Linked DNA regions of Astyanax mexicanus. The protein of the gene in region 2 purifies or fractionates together with the protein of the main gene of each other region. This does not show direct contact. Links are inferred from orthologs where the notes say so. Each region holds a gene or a part of one and is shown on either strand. Other genes may lie near its edges.

Region 1 (11,014 bases), on a different chromosome or scaffold from region 2:
GCTGCTGCTTACAGAATATATTAACTCTAGACCTCTTTGAAAATTGCAGACTAGGGTTTGACTCCCGGCCAGACACGTTTATCATGATACACCAACAAGGGTTATAGGACAGGATGCCAAATGCTAACAATGTAAAATAAAAGTTGGACAGCTGATCCTTAGGATTACATTAAATTTCATGCACTCGAAAGAAGTGTTTAATGCAGCTTGAAGGTTAAACATCTTAATTAATAGGGAATAAACCTTACAAATCTTAGGACATGGCATGTAAACACTTCTGACAAGTTTAGTTCTTAAGAGCATTTGTGTACTTGAGTGTTACAGTAGCTTTTACTCTTTTGGTATTTCCAGTGTTGTTTTTCTTTACGTAGCTGAGAACTACTTAAGGTTTCAGGAGAAAGCTCTGTAATATGGTCCGAACATGGTGTTCCACATCTGCTGGAAGAGTCTGTACAGGCGAAGGATCCATGGATAGGCTGAGGGCAAAGCTGTGGATTAAAAATGTGTTGAAATAAATGAATGATCTGTTATTAAATGCTTTTGAAGCATTGTTGGTTTCGATAGCAGTTATTAAATTTTTTTATGCTCAATTTGAACAGATCAGAATCAGCTGAGCTATTCTGGGTGTACACACACCACCAGCTACATGTTATTGAGAACACACAGGAGCTGTACACACCCGTCCTCTTACCTGGGTCATTGCGGACAAGCAGCAGGTATAGCAGGAACACAAGCAGAAAAGCTCTTTGAAGAGAACGGGACCTGATGTTAGTGCTGGCTGCAGAAAGACTTCTGTACAACAATCTCACCAGAGCGTTTAACCGTTGGACCAGAGAACCTAAAAGGTAAAACCCTTTAGGAAGTGTTCACACAAATTATAAAAAAAAAACGACACTGATATTCCAATTAGTTAAATCATATACATGTACAGTGCACCTGTATTTTTAAAAGATGTACATTTACTATTACTGACTATGGCCCATCTTTTGCTGCACTGTTCATCAGCTACTCCTCATATAATCAGATAAACCATATGTTCACCAATGAGCAGATTTTTTAGTGACACTGGCATAATCATAGCATAGTGGTATGCTGCAACGTTATACATAGAAAGCACAAAAGGTTTAGGTGCCTTAATATGACTGCAAAGTTGAAAACTTGACAAAATATCCAGTTAACAGTGGTACTATAATCAGAAGCTGACCACTGTGACAAGGACGGTGAACACAAATGTGCATGGAAATAAATAAGCTACTTGTACAATAAAATGCTTGTTAATTTTACAGTGTTTACAAGCATCACAGTTTGAGTGTCAAGGCTATGATGAAAAATACAAGCCCTGGTTTGGGGTTGTAATATTAGGGGACAAGTGAGCCTACTGTGGCCCCTTTCCACTTACGTATGGAGTTGAAGATTGTTACATATACGCCTGCCTGACCAAATAAAAGTCGCCACCTAGATTTAACTAAGTACATGATTTGGGGGTGCTGTAGTTGATCAGGTCTTTATTCAGGTCATTCTTTCAGCATCAGTATGTGCTGAAAGAATGAGGTCAGCTGACTACCTGAACATACTGAATATAGACCAGGTTATTCCATCAATGGATTTTTTTCTTCCCTGGAGGTACGGGCATATTCCAAGATGACAATACCAGGATTCATGGGGCCAGAATTGTGAAAGAGTGATTCAGGGAGCATGAGATCATAATTTCCATGTATGGATTGTTCACCACAGAGTCATTGAGAATCTTTGGGATGTGCTGGAGAAGGCTTTGTGCAGCAGCCAGACGCTACCATCATTAATGCTAAAAGGTGGTCCAACGAAATATTGGAATGTGTGAACTTTTTTTTGGCCGGGCAGTGTATTTAAAAGTAGTTATAAACAGGCTACAATAAATAATTGTATAATAGAATCTACAGACATAGATGTATGTAAAAAACTGATCAGTACTTTATTACTTTCATTACTATTCATGAGAAATTGTCAATAGTGTTTGTTTTTACCACTTAATGAGACATACCTTGGGATGTATGAACTCTGCCAGTAGTCTCTGCCTCTACTGAGACACTTTCAGGGCTTGGATACACAGTGGACTCTCTTTTGGATCTATGATTGTCTACTATAGTTAGTGCAGTCTGTCTCTGGTCCTCAGTAAATGCAGCCTGGCCCACTTCGTCCTCCAGCAGCTGTATGGCCATGTTGGTTTGGCCCAGTGGCAGAAGGATGTGCAACATGTAAAGCTCTGCTACACTGCTGTATCCTGAATGGCTCATGTTACTGGGGCAGTGCAGCCAAGCTTGGACTGCTTCCAGCACTTCTGCCTGCTCAGCCACTTTGGTGTACAAAAGAATGCTGTAATAGTATATTATATAATAGTTATTTGTTTTTTTCCATTGCTATTTTAACAGTAAACACAAGCACAAACGGGCATAAAGCAATAGCAATACTTTTACCACATCTGCATGATCTTGGCAGGTATTTTCTCTGTTTCCCCATAGTGCTGTAAGACCCATTGAAGGACATCACGCCACTGGTTAAGCTCAGCCAAAGCTTGAATTCCGACTATGCAAAAAGATGCCTTCAATTCACCATGTCTGGAACTATGAAGACAAACAGATCTGAGTAAAATTACACCTACATTGGCGCAATTAAATAGAATTCTTGAAAAGTCATGCTGAGTCATCTGATGCAAAGTCCACAATACCAATAATTTATTTAATATTCAGTGCAACCAGTCAACAAATATGCATTTAATTGAATATTCAATAATGATGATCAACTGGTTTATGATGGTAAAATTGTCAGTTTTAATTTGCTATTGTATATGTACCTCTCTATCATTAAGGAATTTCAGTCATGTAATAGCTTCTTGTTTTTTTATTAAATGCGTAATAATATCACAATACATGTATGCAATTCATATGAACCACTCTAAATGTGATCAGTGGGATTGCCATTCACATTATATATATATATATATATATATATATATATATATATATATATATATATATATATTTAATATATACAGAAATAAAAGGATACATGTACACTTTGTGTTGTACTTGTACAGTCCTTGTTTCTACACTAGAAATTTTAAATGGGTAGGATTTATCATTTCCACTGACCATGTAGAAACACTTTCTAGTTCTAAAATTACAGTGTGTAGTCATTTTGTTTTATTGCATAAATTATTATCCCTTTACCCTGATCTTCAAAACTCAGGACACCACAGGACCACCACAGAGCAGCTGTTATTTGGACGGTGGATTAACTCCCAGCACTGCACACACTGACATGGTGGGGGTTTATGAGGTGTTAATGTGTGTTGTGCTGGTATTAGTGGGTCAGACCCCTACTGTCAAGAGTTTTTAAACAACTAATAAAGTGAACAGTGAGTGAACACAGTTATCCCAACAGCTCTGTGCTGGTTTCAATAGAAGAACAAGGTGAAAGGAGGATAAAGTATGCAAAGAAACAGATTAAGGATTAGTCTGTAAGTACAGAACTACAAAGTGATCATATATGATCAGTGGCACAAATAAGTGTGTGAGTAGTAACAAAGAGATGCTCATAATATTTTCATATGAATGCATGTTCATATTGTTTAGTGCTCCAATTTTAAATAGGTCGTTACTTATTCAAGTTCACGATACGACAATGAAATAACTGCAATAAATCAACAGCTCATTCGATTTATCAAGAACATATGGATCGTAATGCACGACTGTGGAAAGGCGAGCTTTCCACGGTTTATCTCGGCCTAATGGTTACACAAGACTCCAATAATCCCAATTAATTCGTATGGTATTCCACTAAACTGGGAGACCCTAAACCTTGCAAGTGTGAAGCTACGTTTCAGTACACCCACCACGACTCTTCTTGATCTTCAGCGCTAAATAAACTTTCCAGTCCCCTCTCACACGTGTCAAATGCTGCTTGAAAATCTTTTGTAATCATTAAATGTTGGACGGCAGCGTGCACCAGTCCAGCACGAGGAGTCAACACACATGCTGCAGGACTGCCGAGGCGACACGAGGCTGACGAGCTGCTCCGCATAGCGGCTTAATCAGCTGCGTGTTGTGATCTAATGGCGAATCCGTTTAAATTACCAGCAACGTTTTTACAAACAATTTACAAACTAATCTCCGTCACATTCAAGCTGCAACAGACGCGTCGGTACACACTCCAGTCGCCCCTCCTCCTACCTTTAGTACTGCGTTCCAATATACTCACTTCGGTACTAACTAGCATGCTTGGTAGGGCGTAGGATTTCGCCCTCTAGCAGAATTCATCAGACATCTTTCTGGCTGGAAGTTTACCGCTCTAATTGGAGCGTACCCCTTACATACGCTGCTTCCGTAAACAAAAAGCAAAAAAAAAAAAAAAAAAAAAACATACCAAACGACAAATTAAAAGACCTCAGTTGTTTGTACACAAATGTTTAATTTGTGTTTTAAATACAGCTTAACATATTCCAATGTAAGCTATAAAATACAATAGTATTAACAGTAATATTTTAAGCGGCATTAATTTTTTCTATCAATGATGTTACACGTTTAAACAGTGCAGTTTGCAGGCAAGTGATACAGCATATCATTTTGACAGTCTATAACCACGTCCGGCTGATCATTGCCTCACTGACCAAGAGCTGACCTCGTTCTGAAAGTAAATTCATTAGTTTTTTCCTCCTTCTCCAAGTCACCTTCAAACCATAGTCTCTCTCAGGCGTGTCTTTCACTAACACACTCATGTTTTGAGTGCTTGGCTGATCTGTAAAAAATGGTATGGAAAGAACGGGAGAGGAAAGGCAGTGCACACTGTGTGGTATTTCAGGAGTCTCCACGTGGGGAGGAGTGAATGAAGAGCTAGTGTCTTCTGCTTCCTGTGCAGGCCTGTGATGAGAGCGTACAGTGCTCCCTTTTCCATGTATGAATTCAAGTGGTGTTTTCACACACTCCGAGGTCCTGTTGGGGGTCAGTGTAGGATCTGGTGTAGCTCTTTTCTGCCCCCTTTCGGTGAGAGAAGGTCCCTGTCTAGGAGTCTCTTCAGGAACCTCATTCTGATTGAGAGATGAACCCGTTTTGTCACTTTGAGAACGCCTCACATCTTGAGATTTTGGTAATTCCCCAGCCCTGGAGGCAGTGTTTTTGTGGAAAGCACCGTGATGTCTCTGTGAAACTGATGTGCTTGTCCTAAATGACAAAGAAGAGTATCTTCCAGCAGTTGCTCTTTTGACCTGATGCAAAGACAGAGCTGAGGTTGTGTTCATTGTGTTTGTGGGAAGGCGATTCTTCTTCCTCCTACGTCCACCACGTCTGACTGCTGTGTCATTTTGGGATATAAACTGGGGAGACACCTGCAATAAATAAAATTCACATTAATATTGTTTTACTGTCAATAATGTTTACTGCACTCCTTTTAGATAATTCATTTATCAAATATTCCCATTGTACATTAACTGCTACTTTACTGTTAAAATCTTCCTTTTTAAAATAGAAAAATATAATAAATAGGTAAATAAAAATAACAAAATACCAATGGCTAGTGGTTATTAGTAAATAGGTTACACATACAAATAAACAAGAAATGTATCTAATTGGTATCTTCATAACCTTGGAGCTATATTTCATCTAGACACATTAATTTATAGAAGTTAGATTTAGATAATTTTAGGATGTAATTCATTTTCCAAGTTTCATATAATACAGTGCATCTTTAATCCAGGTTTAATACCAGAGTTCCACAAGCTTCTGGACCCCGGGAGCCAAGCCCTTAACTGTCATTGTTCCCCAAGCCCTGCAGCAGCGCCACTGACTGCGCCTGGGCATGTACACACTCACTTAACACCTTAATGCAAATTTCTATCTGAAACTCAAAAAGACCTTCTTGCTCCGTAGTCACATAAGGCTTTCTATTAGTATATCAACAAATTCCATATAACTATATAAACACTGATCTAGTATGAATATAAAATGATCTATTTAGGTTAAGAATCTTTATTTTCCCGACCTGCACAATACACTACATAGGAAGCAGTGTGTGATTTGGGACTGAACCTCGGTGTTTTCTTCTTTTTTCATGTTGTGCTTATATCTCGCTCTTCTATCGCCCCTACATGGAGGGTCACTCTTAAGGTGTTCGTACGTGTGTACGGAAATAATAAAATGTTTTAAACAATCTGAAATGTCTGGGCGAAGCCCAAAACACCATGGCAAAAATTATTTTTAAACTAACCAATGTTTTTTTCCCCGACCCTCTTCCTTATCGATAACCTCAAAAACCTCACAAAAAAATCAGAATTGCCCCTTAAGAGAAAACCTGTAATTAATTACCTTTTTAAATAAATGTTAAATGAACCACACACATGACAGTGTGGGAGAATGCTGGTTGGTGTATATTTACCCATGAAGAAACTGAGGAGCTTTTCCGAGACGTTTCTTCAGCTATAAAGGATCTCGGATTAATGGCGCTTCTTAACTGGTGTCCGTATTCGTGCTTCGTGCCGTTTCTGGGCTGTTCTACAAACAGAAGATGAGATTTTTGTGGAGTGGGCAGCCGCGGTCTTCGTGTTTGACGAGGCATGAGAAGTCATGATAATCCTGATTTAAAGAAAAGAGTGTGCACATACTACATATATATTCATAATCACAGAACAGCGAGGCTCTGCTGGTTCTTTGCGCATGCCTGTAGCTTACAGTTCAGGACATAAATTCTAACCACGGCGGTATGTCACACAGTCTACACACGCTCACATCGCAGACACTGCCTCTGATCACTGTTTTAAACATAGGTAGAGTGGTTATTATTATGAAGTTTTTTACGATAAAATAGAGCTCACTCCTCGACTTGCATGTCTCTGTTCCCGTCTCTCATTGGTTCACCACACTGGCCTGTCTAGCGTCGCACAACCTTATTGGTCGAGCATTAGTCACGTGATCTCCCCCGCAGCACTGCGCCAAAATTCAAACTGGTGTTAGTGCACGCCTGCTGCAGTGAGCGGACAGTGAACTCGTCCACTGATTTAACTTCTCAGAACGACAAGACTCTTAACTACCAGGCAGTTGGAGTAATATGAAGGTTTGATTAACTTTATATTTAACGATTTTAATAAGCGACGGTCTAGCTAGTGCACAGGCTGAGGCTAGATATGCGCTAACACAGGCTGCTGGGAGTAGCACTGAAGCGCTAACACACTGGACACGGGTCTTTGTGTTAGACCGTGCTAAAACTAACGATACTAGATAACAAATCCGGCTGCAGCCAGCAGAAGTGCTTTATTGAAATCATGGCGTATGCGTTGGAGACAGCTATTGTTGAACTGCGCACAGCTTCACTTACAGTAGTCTGGACAAAAAAATACATAACCTACGATATAACTGCGTTAGCTAGGCTAGCTACATGGTTCCGTATTGAGATCAGTGTGTGTATGCTAACGTTGTGTAGTTAGCTGTTAGCTTAGGTAACTAACTGCATAACGTTAGCACACACAGCAATCTCACCTGTCCAGAGTGTGTAATGATCAAGTCAAACAGTTAACTAAGTTAGCCTAGGTTACCTGCGGTGTAACATAAACATAACGTTATATCGATTATGTTTTAGCGTTGTTGTTTTCTAGTGTACGTCACGGGATCCGTTTACTTTCAAAAGTGGGCAGGTCGGCCGTCCGGTACCGTCGGTTCTGAGATTAAACATCCATCGGAGAGAAATATAACTATTATAGGAGGACGATCAGCACCCAGTAACGTTTAGCTGTAGTTACTGGTGTTTGACTTGTAACGCCTCTCATAACGCTGTTAGACTGAATCTTGCATCAGTGCTCGGAATTTCAGGTGACTCTATGATCGGCTGTTTTGATAACCTAACTAGTTATCGTTAGCTTAGCTAGCTACATATTATGCTTACTGGATAGCTATTTTGTATTTTATTACTTAATTATTGATTGTAACGTTACATTATTAATAAGTACGATATAGGGGTTTGCCAGTGATCTCGCCATTTTTTTGGAATATAGTGAACAATAATATACCCTGAAATATCGTTGCCATGTCACCCACTTTTAATCATCACAACAGGTTAACGTTAAGTTACTACTTTGTAGGAAAATATTTGGAGGTCATTATTAGCATCATGACATTCTGGATCATTGGCTTTTGTTACTAATCTGATAAAATTATTTTTAATAGGGGTGTGCTATATCACATCATATGGAATAATAAAATAAAATATACATTAAGAAAAATTATATTCAGTGTTTTGTCATATTGCCAAGAGTATAGTTATTATGAAAATTCCATGAAATACAAATACTATGATAGCATTTGCAGTATTCTCTAATTAAATATTAACAGTTTTTTTTTCTTCTTGATGCAGACTGCCAGACAGGACGATAGCCATATCACTGCGATATAAAGAATGAGGGAAAGTCCCAGGAGGCCCCTGATCCTTAAGAGGAGGAAACTACCCTTTCAGAGAAGTGGACATGATGAGGAGACTGATGGGCCTCAGTCCAAGACTGCCTCGACTGCGAGCGCTCAGTCCTTTCCTCATGGCATCTGTATTATGGACCATCCTACAAAACCTGACACACAGGTAGTCGTCATACCCAAGACTGCAGATCTTCAAAGTCTCATCGGGGCGCTGACTGCCAAAGGGAAGGAATGTGGCCCTCAGGGGCCAAACAAGTTCATTTTACTGAGTGGCAGTAGTAGTCTGGAGGATGGAGTCTGTCCTTTCTTCAGTGCCTCTTCAGAGACACAGTCTAGAGCAACTTCAAGTAGACCAGAAGGATGTGCTAAAGAAGACTTGCTGGAAAACAGAAAACCCTGTATGTATTGATATGAACTATTTAAACCCTAAAACCTTTAATATACCAAATGTTCATTTAACAGGTGACAGAAGTGAGTGTTTTTAAAAGACGACAATGTCTGTTTATTTGTTTGTTTTTTGCACTGTATTGGTTTAGTAATTTCTACATGAGCATTTGGAGAATTAACTTCACATATACAATTGCTGCATAAGAATATACGCACATTTATTGTTGTTTTGCCAGTGAAAAAGGAAGCAAACTGCAGTCTACTAGAAAACAGCTTGACAAGCATCCAGTGGCTAGGAGAAATGAGCACAGATGTTCTTGGATCTGAGCCTGCAAAGACATCATCTGAAAATCTTCAACAGGTACATACTAAAAGTGCATTTAAATAGAAAACCTGTAAATATAATTATAATTATTTATATAACAAAATCCATATATTCTAAAAACATTAGCTACTGTTTCTATTGTCTGCTTAATTATGAGTTTAATTACCAGTAGAATTTTGGTTCACAGCAGCAGACATACCATTTTCTTTTAAAGTTTAGCTGCAAGCATCTAGAGATTCCTTGTTGTAAATCAACATGCTTTCTCTTTCAGCCAGTGCAAGCTAAAGAGGAAATGGATGCAGTTAAGATCCCTCTGTCAGAAAGGCCACCTTACTCCTACATGGCCATGATACAGTTTGCTATAAACAGCAAGAAATCTAGGAAGATGACACTGAAGGAAATATATAACTGGATAGAGAGCCACTTCCCTTACTATCGAAATGTGGCCAAACCGGGATGGAAGGTATTACTGAATGCAGAACATTTTCTGAATATTTTCTAATTTTAAAAGTTGTATGTTTGTCAACTTTGTGCCAGATCACAGATGATTAGGAGTTCCTAAACCAGGGGTCACCAACATGGTGCCCGCTGGCACCAGGTAGCCCACAAGGACTTTGAGTAACCCGCAGGCCTGTTCTAAAAATAGCTTTTTTTCACAGATGCATTGGTTTAAATTTAAAAACAAATAAAAAAAAAAAACTTTAAAAAATGTTCCATATTAAATTAGATATAGCCCACAATTGCCATTGAGACCAGCTATCGGTTCAGGTGAGGAGACAATGTACCCCTGACAACATGGCAGAAAAAAGAAAGAAAATATATTTTCACAATGAATGGAAGAAAGTTATTTTTTACAACTGAAAGGTACCTGTGTGTGTCTCATTTGCGGGGAGACCGTGGCGATGGCAAAGAGGCACATTGTGGAGAGACATTTCAGGATGAGTCACACAAGCTACCATGCTAACTGTAATGTAATATTATGTAGTATTATATTAAAATATAATATAAAATGTAAAATACTTACAGAGATTTATATAATATATTATATAATAACTTATAATTTAAGGTAAATTTAGCAAATGTGTGAAATTTACAAGGGGATATCAAACTCGTAGCATTAATTGGTACCTATGAAGTGGCTTTTGGTTTCAATGATTGGTAACCCCTAATCTAAACATTCAATAATCAAACACCAGTCATTGTGCATTGTGTTGTATTTAATCATTTTATGTATGGATATTATTTGTTTTATTCCTTTTTTTTTTTTTTTTTTTTTTTTTTAAAGAATTCTATTCGGCATAATCTCTCTCTTCATGACATGTTTGTGCGAGAGAGCACACCAGATGGCAAGATATCCTTCTGGACCATTAGACCAGAGGCTAACCGTTGTCTTACTTTAGATCAAGTTTTTAAGGTAAGTTGACTTCTGACCTGATCTTTTAGCAAGGGACAGTAAAGGTGTTTACTGCATTAATGCCCATGTTTTAATGGGTAATGAAATACATATTTTTTAATTACTTGGTGAGAAGACTGATGTAAATGATTTAAAATCAAATACATTACAGAGTTTTTTCATCACAGATATTTTTTGTAACAAACACTAGCTGATTTATTCATAAAATTGCAACACTTATTAACCAAAATAAAATATCTTATTACTCTAAACTCAAAAGTGTGCATATATATTAAAGTCTATTGCAATTTAGAAATAAATAAACACAATTAAATACAAAAAACACACCAATCTGGTCATAAGTATTTTTTGGATCCTGTTATCTGGTCAGACGTCTGTTCTGATCATGCAGACAAATATTTTTTTGTAGTGGGATGCTACAGTATGGCTTTGCCGGAGACTAATAAATACAGGCATACA
Region 2 (10,381 bases):
TAATGTAACACTTTATCAACAATTTACATTCTGCTACCTCATGACTTTTGACATGTCAGTGTATATACAGCCTATACCCATACAATCCTAAGGTCTCTAATTAACAATTTAAACAACAATGAGCCCAAAAAGAGATATGTACTATTTCAATGACCTCTTATCTGTGTACCAATTCATGCTGATTATTTTAATATGACCTGTAAGATGTTCTGATTGCAGTTCTGTACATTATTCTCTACTTAAATCTTTTTTTAATACTGCTCATGGTTTGTCCAACTCTGCCATTATCTGAAAGTCAATAAGTATAACCAGAACAATCCTCTTACTCTAGTTAATAAAACAGAGGCAGAGTGCCTCATTCGACTCTTTAATGAGTTGCTGGAAGGGCAGACAGAGAAGAGAGCAGGGCTTGGTCTGGACCGGGGAAAATTCAGAAACATCCTACACAACACGTTTGGACTGACAGACGACATGATTATGGACAGAGGTAAGGGAACTATTTCTATATGTAAAGGCTAGAACTTGTAGAAGTCAATATCACATCTCTAAAGCCAACATTTCTCCAACCCACACAGTCTTCCGGTCCTTCGACAGCGACAATGACAGCTATATCAGTGTAAAGGAGTGGGTGGAAGGACTGTCAGTCTTCCTTCGAGGCACCTTGGATGAAAAGATCAAATGTAAGACTGAGCTGAACAGATTGTGTGATGAAGATAATTCTCAGATCACTGTTCTTAATCCATGCTCATTTCTCTAAAACGATCAGACTGTTTTGAGGTGTACGACCTTAATGGAGATGGCTACATATCGAGGGAGGAAATGTTCCACATGTTGAAGAACAGTCTGATCAGACAGCCGACTGAAGAAGAACCTGATGAAGGGATTAAGGACCTTGTGGAAATAATACTAAAGAAAATGGTGAGACCACAGCTGGGGAGATAGTTGAGCACAGTCAGTCAAAAATATAACAGATACACTAAAAATGATTTCTGTTTTCGGCATTCAGGATTATGACCATGACAGCAGACTTTCATATAGTGATTTTGAGAAGTCTGTAAGAGAGGAAAATCTGCTATTAGAAGCTTTCGGAACTTGTCTTCCTGATGCAAAGGTAAAATTGTTAAATTTTACGTTTTGCAATGTTCTGCATGAGTGTCATTATTGTTTTAATAATTTAATATTCTTACTATACCATCCATCTTACTGTAATAATACTTAAAATGACAGTTGTCTGTCTTCAGATTTTTTTTATTTTGACATTTATAGAAAAATACAATTTAATAAATAAATGTGTATTTTTGTTTGTTTTCAGAGGACCCTGGAATTTGAGCAACATGCTTTCCAGTAACAAGTGAATCACTCATATAAAGAAAAATGAACAGTGCTATTTTACAATAAACCACTATTACAGTACATCAATAAAAAATGCACACTGAAGACAAGAGAAAATTATATTCTTCGCCGTGCTTTTACAGCTGTTGTCTTCTTTTCAGATGGAACTGATGCAACCTAAAAAGAAAAAGAGAGACAATTTCAGACATACGTTTTAACTATTCTATAACATTCATAACAGTAAAAAAAAATACTTATAATGCTGACCTTTGACATTGTTTGCCTGATGATGTTTGCCGTTTTGTTTAATGATGCATCTTCCATGTCCATCTTTGGTAGTTCTGGTAGTTTGGGTCCATACAAGGGGGCATTTCTGTCTGCCACACCTAACAAGTCTGTACTGTCCTCCATTTTCCTTTTCCTGTTTTCTAATTGTGCAGTCCTTGGTATAAACCTTGGTGCAGTGCTTGGCGGATGTTTGGGTTTTTTGATAATACTTCTCTCTTCGTTGCCAAAGGTAGAACCAGAAGGCAGGTCTGACCACTGTGTGGTCTGCTTGCAATCATCTGGGGCACGGTTACTAGGGATGAAGTTGTGTAAAGATCCCATTCTATCTTCTGTAGGTACACTGCCTTCATGTACAGTCTTCACAGACTTAAATGAGTCCTTAGATGAAAAATAGTGCTGATGAACTCTTTCATGAGGTGGTAGCGGCAATAATGGAAAGCTAGAAGATGTGCTGGAACTACAATTGTCCTCTTGGGAACTTCGAGGACATGTCCTATCTTCATACACTGATGATGGAGCTGGTGTCTCTGAACTGGCAGGAGTTGTTTTCTCTGTAGCCTGTTCTTGCTCACATTCCCTTTCTGTAATAAAGGTGCAGTACAACCAGACAAACTGGTTAATTACATGGATTGCAGAAACAAAAATGTGTGTGATGCAAGCGTACAAAATACCTAATCTTTGGGTTGTTCTGTAAACATATCTTCTCCTGTCCTGTAACTTCCTTCTTGTGTCTTCCACAGTCTCATGTTCAGGGGCATAGCAAACATGAAGCAGACCCCCATAGAAGCTTCTTTCATCTGTTTTTCTTTTGGCAGCCCTGAAACAGACAAAATTACTCAGCTATCAACAGATCTTGGGATATCTTAAAATGTGCTTGAAAACATGCATGATACATCTTAAGAGGCATGTCTTAACCAAGGAGGACATGTGTATACAATGTCCATTTGATAACATCTTAAGAGGCATGTCTAAACCAAGGAGAGTGTGTCAATAGAACGGTCATACTACTTCGAAATACTATCCTATCTATGATGTATAATGGGGATGTGTTTTTTAAATTTTATTTTAATATGGTTTGGCATATGGTTTAATGGCAACATTCAATGAAACTATTTAGCCTAAGTAAAATACATGCACATTACAGGGTTTAAGAAAAATGCTAAATTATTCTTATTTTAAATAAAACACAAGTGACAATTTTAATCTAACCATGCTATCTACTGTATGATTTACATCTTTCCATGTTTGAGGTTTTATTCTCACCTTGCACTTGTAAGCTTTTGGAACTTGATAAGATAAACTTCAGTGAACTGTTCTGCAGGATACTCATCCAGTACTCTGTATTCTTCCACCACTCCATAGAGAGCAAAGAGCTGCACCAGCTCAGTCATTACCCCAACAGCAGGCACTCCTTGCACCAGCAGAAACCGAGACTCTAGGTTAATCGTATAAACCTACAGATTGACAAAGCAGAAGATACAGGATACAGTCAGGATTAAGCCGAGCCGTAGACTGTTTTGCTTTATTGTGGAACATTTCCATTCACAAATATATGCGGCCCAAGATTAGACTTCTTTGTCTGGGAAACTGTCCCTATATATACACCTCTGGAAAAAAATTGAGACCACTTCAGTTTCTGAATCAGTTTCTCCGATTTTGCTATTTATAGTTATATGTTTGAGTAAAATGAACATTAGTGTTTTATTCTATAAACTATAATTCCAAATAATACTGTCATGTAAAGCATTTATTTGCAGAAAATGAGAAATGGCTGAAATAACAAAAAAGAAGCAGAGCTTTCAGACCTCAAATAATGCAAAGAAAACAAGTTCATATTCATAAAGTTTTAAGAGTTCAGAAATCAATATTTGTTTCTCTGATTACTTCTGATTAATTCTACGTGTCCCTTAATTGTTTTGATCTATATTAATTTAGAATGTAGAAAAGACAAATAAATAAACGAATAAAGAAAAAACATTGAATGAGAAGGTTTGTTTAAACGTTTTACTGGTACTGTAGCTATATAATTCAGTATACAGATAATATATACTTCATTATATATTATGTATTGTCTATCTTTCTGTTAACTAACTATAGATTTGGGGAGATTCAGTGATGACAGGGAGGCTCGTGTAGCCAAACAGCTAACTTAAGCTAGGCTAGCAGTCTAAACACTGGGGCTGTAGGCCCGTTATTCTCCTCTCAGTACGGAGTTTCAGTAAAAACAGCTCACTGACCTTCACAGCCTTCAGTCTCCTCCCTTCTCTGTACTTCGGGCGGGTGAGACAGGCGCTCTGCTGCTCGTGGTGTTTGTAGACCTGCGGTGTGTCCCACACAGAGCCCGGCTTCAGAGCCGCCATGATGATTACCCAGCGTCCCCGACAACAGCGCAGAACTAAACACAGACCCAGACCCGAATAATCAATCACAGATAGTGATCCACGTTCAGCGAGAAACACATACTGAAATAAACTGTAATCATGTAATAAAAAATGTTAAATAAAAATTTTAATAAATACAAAAATAGACAATAGTATATATTTTTGTACTAAAATATAGTACAATATATATAATATCGTATCATGAGAAATCGAGGATGTATCATCATTACTTAAAGAACACTGACCCAATCATACATTTTATTACAGAGAGTGATTTAATTAATAATCACTGTACAAAACATTGTGAAAGAGCATTTAATAGCAGAATATGCTACTGCTGATACATTTAAATAAATACTAAATACTGTCTGAATACTGTGCATTGTGAAAATGTCTTTAAATATTGTGTAAAATATTTATCAGTGTGTGAATATGTACAGCATGGGTGGAAACCCAAATTTATACTTTTCATATTGATATCAGAATTGTAGCGTGTCAACCAAAATTAAGAAATATATTTTGTGATGTATGTTTCCCACACTTTTGCCTTAAATATATTCTGAATGTTTCTGTATTCTGAATGTGCAGAGAGACATTTAAAACTATCATTACCTAGATAATCATTGTTTTAATGACAAAAACCTATTAAATCATGTAATATACATGCTAATGCATTTGTGAAATGGTAAGAAAAAAAATCTATTTTAACCTTTAATATTTTTAATAATTTAAATGTCCTACATGTATGAATATTTTATTAACAATATAAACATATACCCTTTCAATTTTATTTGTATTATTTTTATGATAAAAATATAAATGTATAAATAAAAAATATTTAATGTATAAAAAAATATAAAAATGTAAACATATATTTTTAATATTTATTATTTGTGTGGGCAGATTGATCTTTTAAACTATATCACCTTCATGTCACATTCATTTTCTAATGACAGGACCTGTTAAATTCTGTAAGATACATGCTAACACATTTTTAAAAATGATATTTAATTTAAAAATCTTTAAATGTAACATTTTTAGTTCATTTAAATATACATATACCTTCCCTAATTTATTTTGATTATTTGTGACCATTTAAAAACAATATTTCAAATATAAATAAATATTAAAATGTGAAAATATGTTTAAATGTTTATTATTTGTTAGGGCATACTGAGCTTCATATACATTGTAGTGATGATCGCACGCTGGTGGATGGATTGGTCAGGTCTGTCTGACAGTATTGACATGTTCAGCATGGCGCCTGATCCTCTGTAGTGCAGCAGGTCCTGAACACTAGTGCTGATTTATACAGTCTTTCAGCGCTAAAAGAGGCTTTAAAGCTCCTCTTTATGCAATGTTGGGGAACTGCGGAATCCAGCCAGTAACTCTGGCCTTCAACAACTCCAAAAACTGCTTTCTCCACCTGCCATCCAACTTAGTGTCTCAGCTCTCCCTCAGAGAGGTGTGTGTGAGAGTGGGTGTGTGATAGTATGGCTACGCTGCTCCTGCTTTATTAACTTGGGGTGCAGTCTAGTCTAGTCTAACTGTCCTGTTTTTATTGTCATATGCAGTCACAGGCCCTGGAGCTGTCCTGGGGATCATCTGCTCCAGTGTTCCTCAGCTGGATAAGAAGCCACGCAGCAGGTCAGGAGGACAGGGTTGAGCTGAACAGACAGTTAGGGGAGAAACTGGGAGTTCAGGAAGGAGAACAGGTAAACTCTGGAGTTGGATAAATGTCTGTATTACAGTTAACTGTAATTTAAGTTGATGTGATTTGCTTTTTATTTTGTTTTTTTATTTTTGTTTTTGATGTTTTTCAGGGCTTCCTGCGTCCATGTAGTCAGGTACAGTCTGTGCAGCAGGTGTTTGTAGAGCCTCTGTCCTCAGATGACTGGGAGATCCTGGTGAGTCTCATTCACCAAATAAAAAAACACTGCCCACCCACACTAAAAACTGATAGGCTGACTCTTAGAATAGGAGAGTAGGTTAATCAGAACCATCTCTGTTTTGTATTCACTCTGGCAGCTTCTATATGTAAAGGTGTACGATCTTCATTGTCCCATTTTGAAAATTTAATTAAACAGTAAGATTCAGTTAATCAAATTAATTGGATTAACTTCCCAGGTTGGGACCAAGTTTTAGTTTAAGGGTGCTTTTATTGCTTACTAAACTGCTGTGTGAAACCAAAACTAACCGGACCCAATGTACAAAATGTAACAAAGGCACAAACCTCAGTGCAGACTCTGGTCCAAACTTTTAGGTGTGAAAACACCCCAAGATTTAATTACAACTTAGTTACATGTTTAAGTTGAATACAACTTTTTAGACTGTTTTTTCTTTGCTGTTATGTATCTGTATATTCTATAAATTCCACTGTTGCACTGATGCACTATGCTTGCACAGGGTAGCATACAGTACAACAGGTCAGAACATATTTAAAAATAAGTCACTGCTGTAACCATATTGGTTTGCTCACTTCATGTTTTTTTGTTTTGACATGTTCCCTTTTTCTTACACACCTAAACCAAAAGGAACAACACGTTTTGGATAATGTTATAAAGTAAAAAAGTTAGATATTAAAGTTTACTTTTAGTGGAGTTAAAATTAAAATTATTCAGCCATGTTTATATACACACATAACAAAAAAATACTTATATACAGCAACTAATTACATTTACTTCATTACTGCCCTTTACTGATGACACCTAATGCCTTTGTTTTCCAGGAGCTTCACAGCACAGCTCTGGAACAGCACCTTTTAGACCAGATTCGAGTCGTTTTCTGTTCTGGGGTGTTTCCTGTGTGGGTTGACCAACACACTGTCATCTACATCAGGATAGGTCTGTTTCAAACACTTTTTATTAAATACTTCTTTAAAATCCTCAGTTCTGTCTGTAAATTGCTGTACCTCTTGTTCTTGTAGTCTCCCTGTCTCCATCTGTTCCGTATGGTCGATTAGAGCAGTTCACTGAGCTGGTTGTTTCCCCCAAACTCCGGCATGGAGGCAGGCAGCTTGCCCCAGTTTCTCCAGATACAAAGAACCCGGTCTTGCAGAGGCAGCAGAACATAGACCGTGGATCCTCCTCCACACCTTCCTCCACAGGAACTGATTCTTTCTCTGAGTCCATTCACAATCAGCCGGAGCCCAGTCAGAGACACTGGGCTGGAGTACCTGACCTGCAGAGCCTGGTGAGATATGTGTTCACAGGGAAATATGAGCCCGCCAAGGAGATTCCAGAAGTGCCCACTGTCCCCGCAGTCTTCCCAGATTGTGTCCTGAGAGTGTGTGGAACCCCACCCGGAGCAATCAGACATCTTGACCCAAATCATGGAGATGTTCACATGCTGCCATGGGACCAAATACAGTATGACTATTGGAGTACACAACAGCCAGTGTTAACGTATGGTAGAGTTTCTAAAATTCATTCTCCCAAAGAAGTGAGAGAGCAAGCCAAGCAAGCGATGGAGAAGAAAAAGAGTGGAAATAGCTCTCAACCTAAAAAGGAAGCACAGGAACCAGTGGAGGAGTCTGTGGTGGTCAAGATCCTTTGCCATAACACAGAAAAGCTGGAAGCAGACCAAAGATCCTCAGGAATGAGAGAGATTTACTGTGGGAAGGTGTGGGTAAGTGTTATACACTGATACACTTTACTTTTCTAGAATTAGTCTAAAACATTTGTTATAAAAACCTAATCTTAAGTATCTAATGAAAAACATTTATCCCCGTGTGCCTTGTCAAAAATTCTGGATGAATGGGCCAATAGAAATTTCCCAAAATTAGCTGAAATAAACTTTTTTTTTTGTTTTTACATTTACGTCCATTGAAAGAAATTTTTTATTTTTCCCATTTAAGTTGTTGTTTTTATGATATATGTTTTTTTATTGGACAGCAATTGGACTTGTGTACTAGGAAAGTAACAGTGCACATGTTTTTAGATTTCATATGACATAGGGCTGGGCAATATGTTGTGATTTTATTTATTCTAAATTATTTTTGGAAATTATACATAATCATAATCTTTATAATATCACAACTGCTACATAAGTTACCTTTTTTGTTAAATTTCAAAAAAGATTGTGGGATCCTTTGTGTGGAAATCATTTGGTACTCTGTAGATACATTGCAATTAAAGAAGCAGCATAACAACTTTATTTGACCACAAATCAGTGCAATGATGAATAAATAAAAATGTAAAAAATAATACATTTATTTTTTTATTCTATTCTCTTCACAGATCCCAAACATTTTACGATCAAGGCTGAGCATAGGCCTGCATTCTGCCGTGAGAGTTCGTCCTCTAACGTGCACCCCTGCAGTTGCACAGGCTGTCTTACTTCAGCCACTACGAACACTAGTAAGTGTATCTTTCTCTCTTAACTTGAAATATCAGACAAACGCAGTTCATTTATAATAAACTGTTAATAGTCGGACTAATAGCTGAATCAGAGTAGAACACGTGCGTGTAAACGTGTAAAGGTCATTCTGAATGCAATTTCTATTTGATTGAACGAGGTGGATAATCCTTTAAATAATCCATTAAATAGAACAAAAAATAGCCTTGTAAACACATGTACCCGATTAGATCTCCAGTCCGAAAGTAAATATTGCGCATGTACATGTGCTGCACGAAGGAAGTTTATAAAGCTGAACATCACTCCTCACTTTTATCCACTGCTTCCTAGTCATGGGCGGTGGGACTGGCATCCAGCTCACTTGCCTCAGAATGTTCAAAGACATTGAGGACGTAAGTTCTTCGTCTCTACCCTTCTTTAAAAAGAAACTGTGAATTAGGTTGTTATGGAGTCCGCCATAATTTTAACGCTGTTAGAAAAAACAAGCTTACCAGCTGCAAATTCTGGAAACATAACTAGTTATCCAGTTACTGTTGCTCCCCTCACGCTGGCTGGCATCACGTGCGGCCCGTTGTCCTTGTCATGGTTACGTGTACACTAAGCGATACTACACATGTGCGTCATGTTTGATTGGATTACTTGTAGCGTGCACATAATTTATTCAGATAGGAGAAAAGCTTTGCATGTAAACATAGCCAGTGTTATATGTGTTTATATATATTTTTTCCTGAGGTAGAACCAGTTAGTCCGTTCTCAGTTGACCTCTCTCATCAGCAAGAGATTCTGTCTGCAAAACTGCAGCTCACATGATGTTATTTTTTTATTACACCACTCAGGGTCAACTCCGGGAACTGCTTAAAATCACTGAGATAACATTTCTTCCCCATTCTGATGATTAATGTAAACATTTCCTGAAGCTGCTGACTTGTATCCACCTGCTGTTTTGTGAATGCTTTGCACTGATTAGATCACTGCGTGAATAAGCAGATGTATATCTCTGCCTGATGAATTGCTATGTGAGAACACCTATATGTTTATATTTAAAACATATCGTATTTAAAAGACTATAAGGCACACTATCAAAAATGGTCTATTTTATGGTCTGGTGTCATACATAAATCGCACCGGATTATAAGGTGCAAATCAAGCGATAACAGTAAGATACAAGGGTGTCGCCATGTTTCCGTTCTAGTTCAGCAGGTCTCGCCACAGGGGGAAGTGCCTATGTAAACAAAACTGCAATTCTTAAAAAAAACTTTGTCTTTCAAGTCAAACAAGCATTGGATTTTAATCTACACAGATTTCTCTCCTGAAAACTGTTTATTTAGGTGAGTGCTAGTTGTGGTTAGCTTGTGTTTAGCAGCAGTTAGCACTAGTAAACAATGCCCGACAGAGCTAGAATGAGGAATCCTGAGTGTTCCGGTAAGACAGGGCGCTATCAGCTTGCGGTTCATCCCACGTAGCTTGTTTTAACACAGTAAACACGCCCTACATATACTCACCTCTGAATGGCGAAAGATCTAGCACTGTGGTTAGTGACTAATGCTAATACTGCTTCAGCCTCAGTGCAGGAGAAACTGGCTTTACTGAAAACCTGACCTGGTAAAATTTATAGGATTAAAAGGGTTTTAAGTGCGCCTTATAGTGCAAAAAATCTGATATGTTAAAAAGGAATCAATAATAAGTGTGTTTCTCTTACTGCAGACTGAGATTGAGCAAGAAGAGGATGTTCAGTCTGCATTTCTAGGCTGGCTTCATGCTCTGAGCCATCAGCCTTTGGCTTGTCTGACAGGCCGGACCACCATCATCCCTCTACGCTGCACTGAGGGTATGCATAAACTTGCATATTCTGTACCTTTCAGTTTTTATTTTTCATTTGGATTTGTTTAATCCTGTTTGATGCTGCTGTGTTTTCAGGAACGTCTGAGTTTGTTCTTACTGTGTTGAAACCTGACCCTGAGCCAAAGAAAGAAGATGAGATTTTTCTTTTATCCACCAGTGTCCTACACAAACCAGACATACAG

What was found.
Region 1: the proteins of pex1 (region 2) and pex26 purify together in Homo sapiens (affinity purification with western blotting; 3 studies listed by BioGRID and IntAct, with this or other methods). This does not show direct contact. The link is inferred for Astyanax mexicanus from reciprocal best matches to the Homo sapiens genes PEX1 and PEX26.

The regions. Positions count from the first base shown.
Region 1 is NC_064409.1:30,362,366-30,373,379, reverse strand, and holds the start of pex26 (peroxisome assembly protein 26), read right to left. Parts: upstream 4,217-11,014; 5' UTR 4,060-4,216; coding exon 3,872-4,059; intron 2,601-3,871; coding exon 2,454-2,600; intron 2,353-2,453; coding exon 2,021-2,352; intron 854-2,020; coding exon 692-853; intron 489-691; coding exon 391-488; 3' UTR 1-390. Other genes in the region: rhno1 (RAD9, HUS1, RAD1-interacting nuclear orphan protein 1), read right to left, coding at 4,610-5,359, 6,406-6,585; foxm1 (forkhead box protein M1), read left to right, coding at 8,416-8,827, 9,053-9,177, 9,413-9,604, 10,427-10,555. UniProt on the Homo sapiens protein: Peroxisomal docking factor that anchors PEX1 and PEX6 to peroxisome membranes. PEX26 is therefore required for the formation of the PEX1-PEX6 AAA ATPase complex, a complex that mediates the extraction of the PEX5 receptor from peroxisomal membrane.
Region 2 is NC_064410.1:48,088,455-48,098,835, reverse strand, and holds the start of pex1 (peroxisome biogenesis factor 1), read left to right. Parts: upstream 1-5,247; 5' UTR 5,248-5,358; coding exon 5,359-5,466; intron 5,467-5,575; coding exon 5,576-5,716; intron 5,717-5,824; coding exon 5,825-5,908; intron 5,909-6,729; coding exon 6,730-6,844; intron 6,845-6,927; coding exon 6,928-7,628; intron 7,629-8,239; coding exon 8,240-8,359; intron 8,360-10,061; coding exon 10,062-10,185; intron 10,186-10,274; coding exon 10,275-10,381. Other genes in the region: efcab1 (calaxin), read left to right, coding at 332-487, 576-680, 767-918, 1,007-1,111, 1,313-1,348; rbm48 (RNA-binding protein 48), read right to left, coding at 1,450-1,509, 1,600-2,201, 2,292-2,437, 2,884-3,074, 3,858-3,980. UniProt on the Homo sapiens protein: Component of the PEX1-PEX6 AAA ATPase complex, a protein dislocase complex that mediates the ATP-dependent extraction of the PEX5 receptor from peroxisomal membranes, an essential step for PEX5 recycling.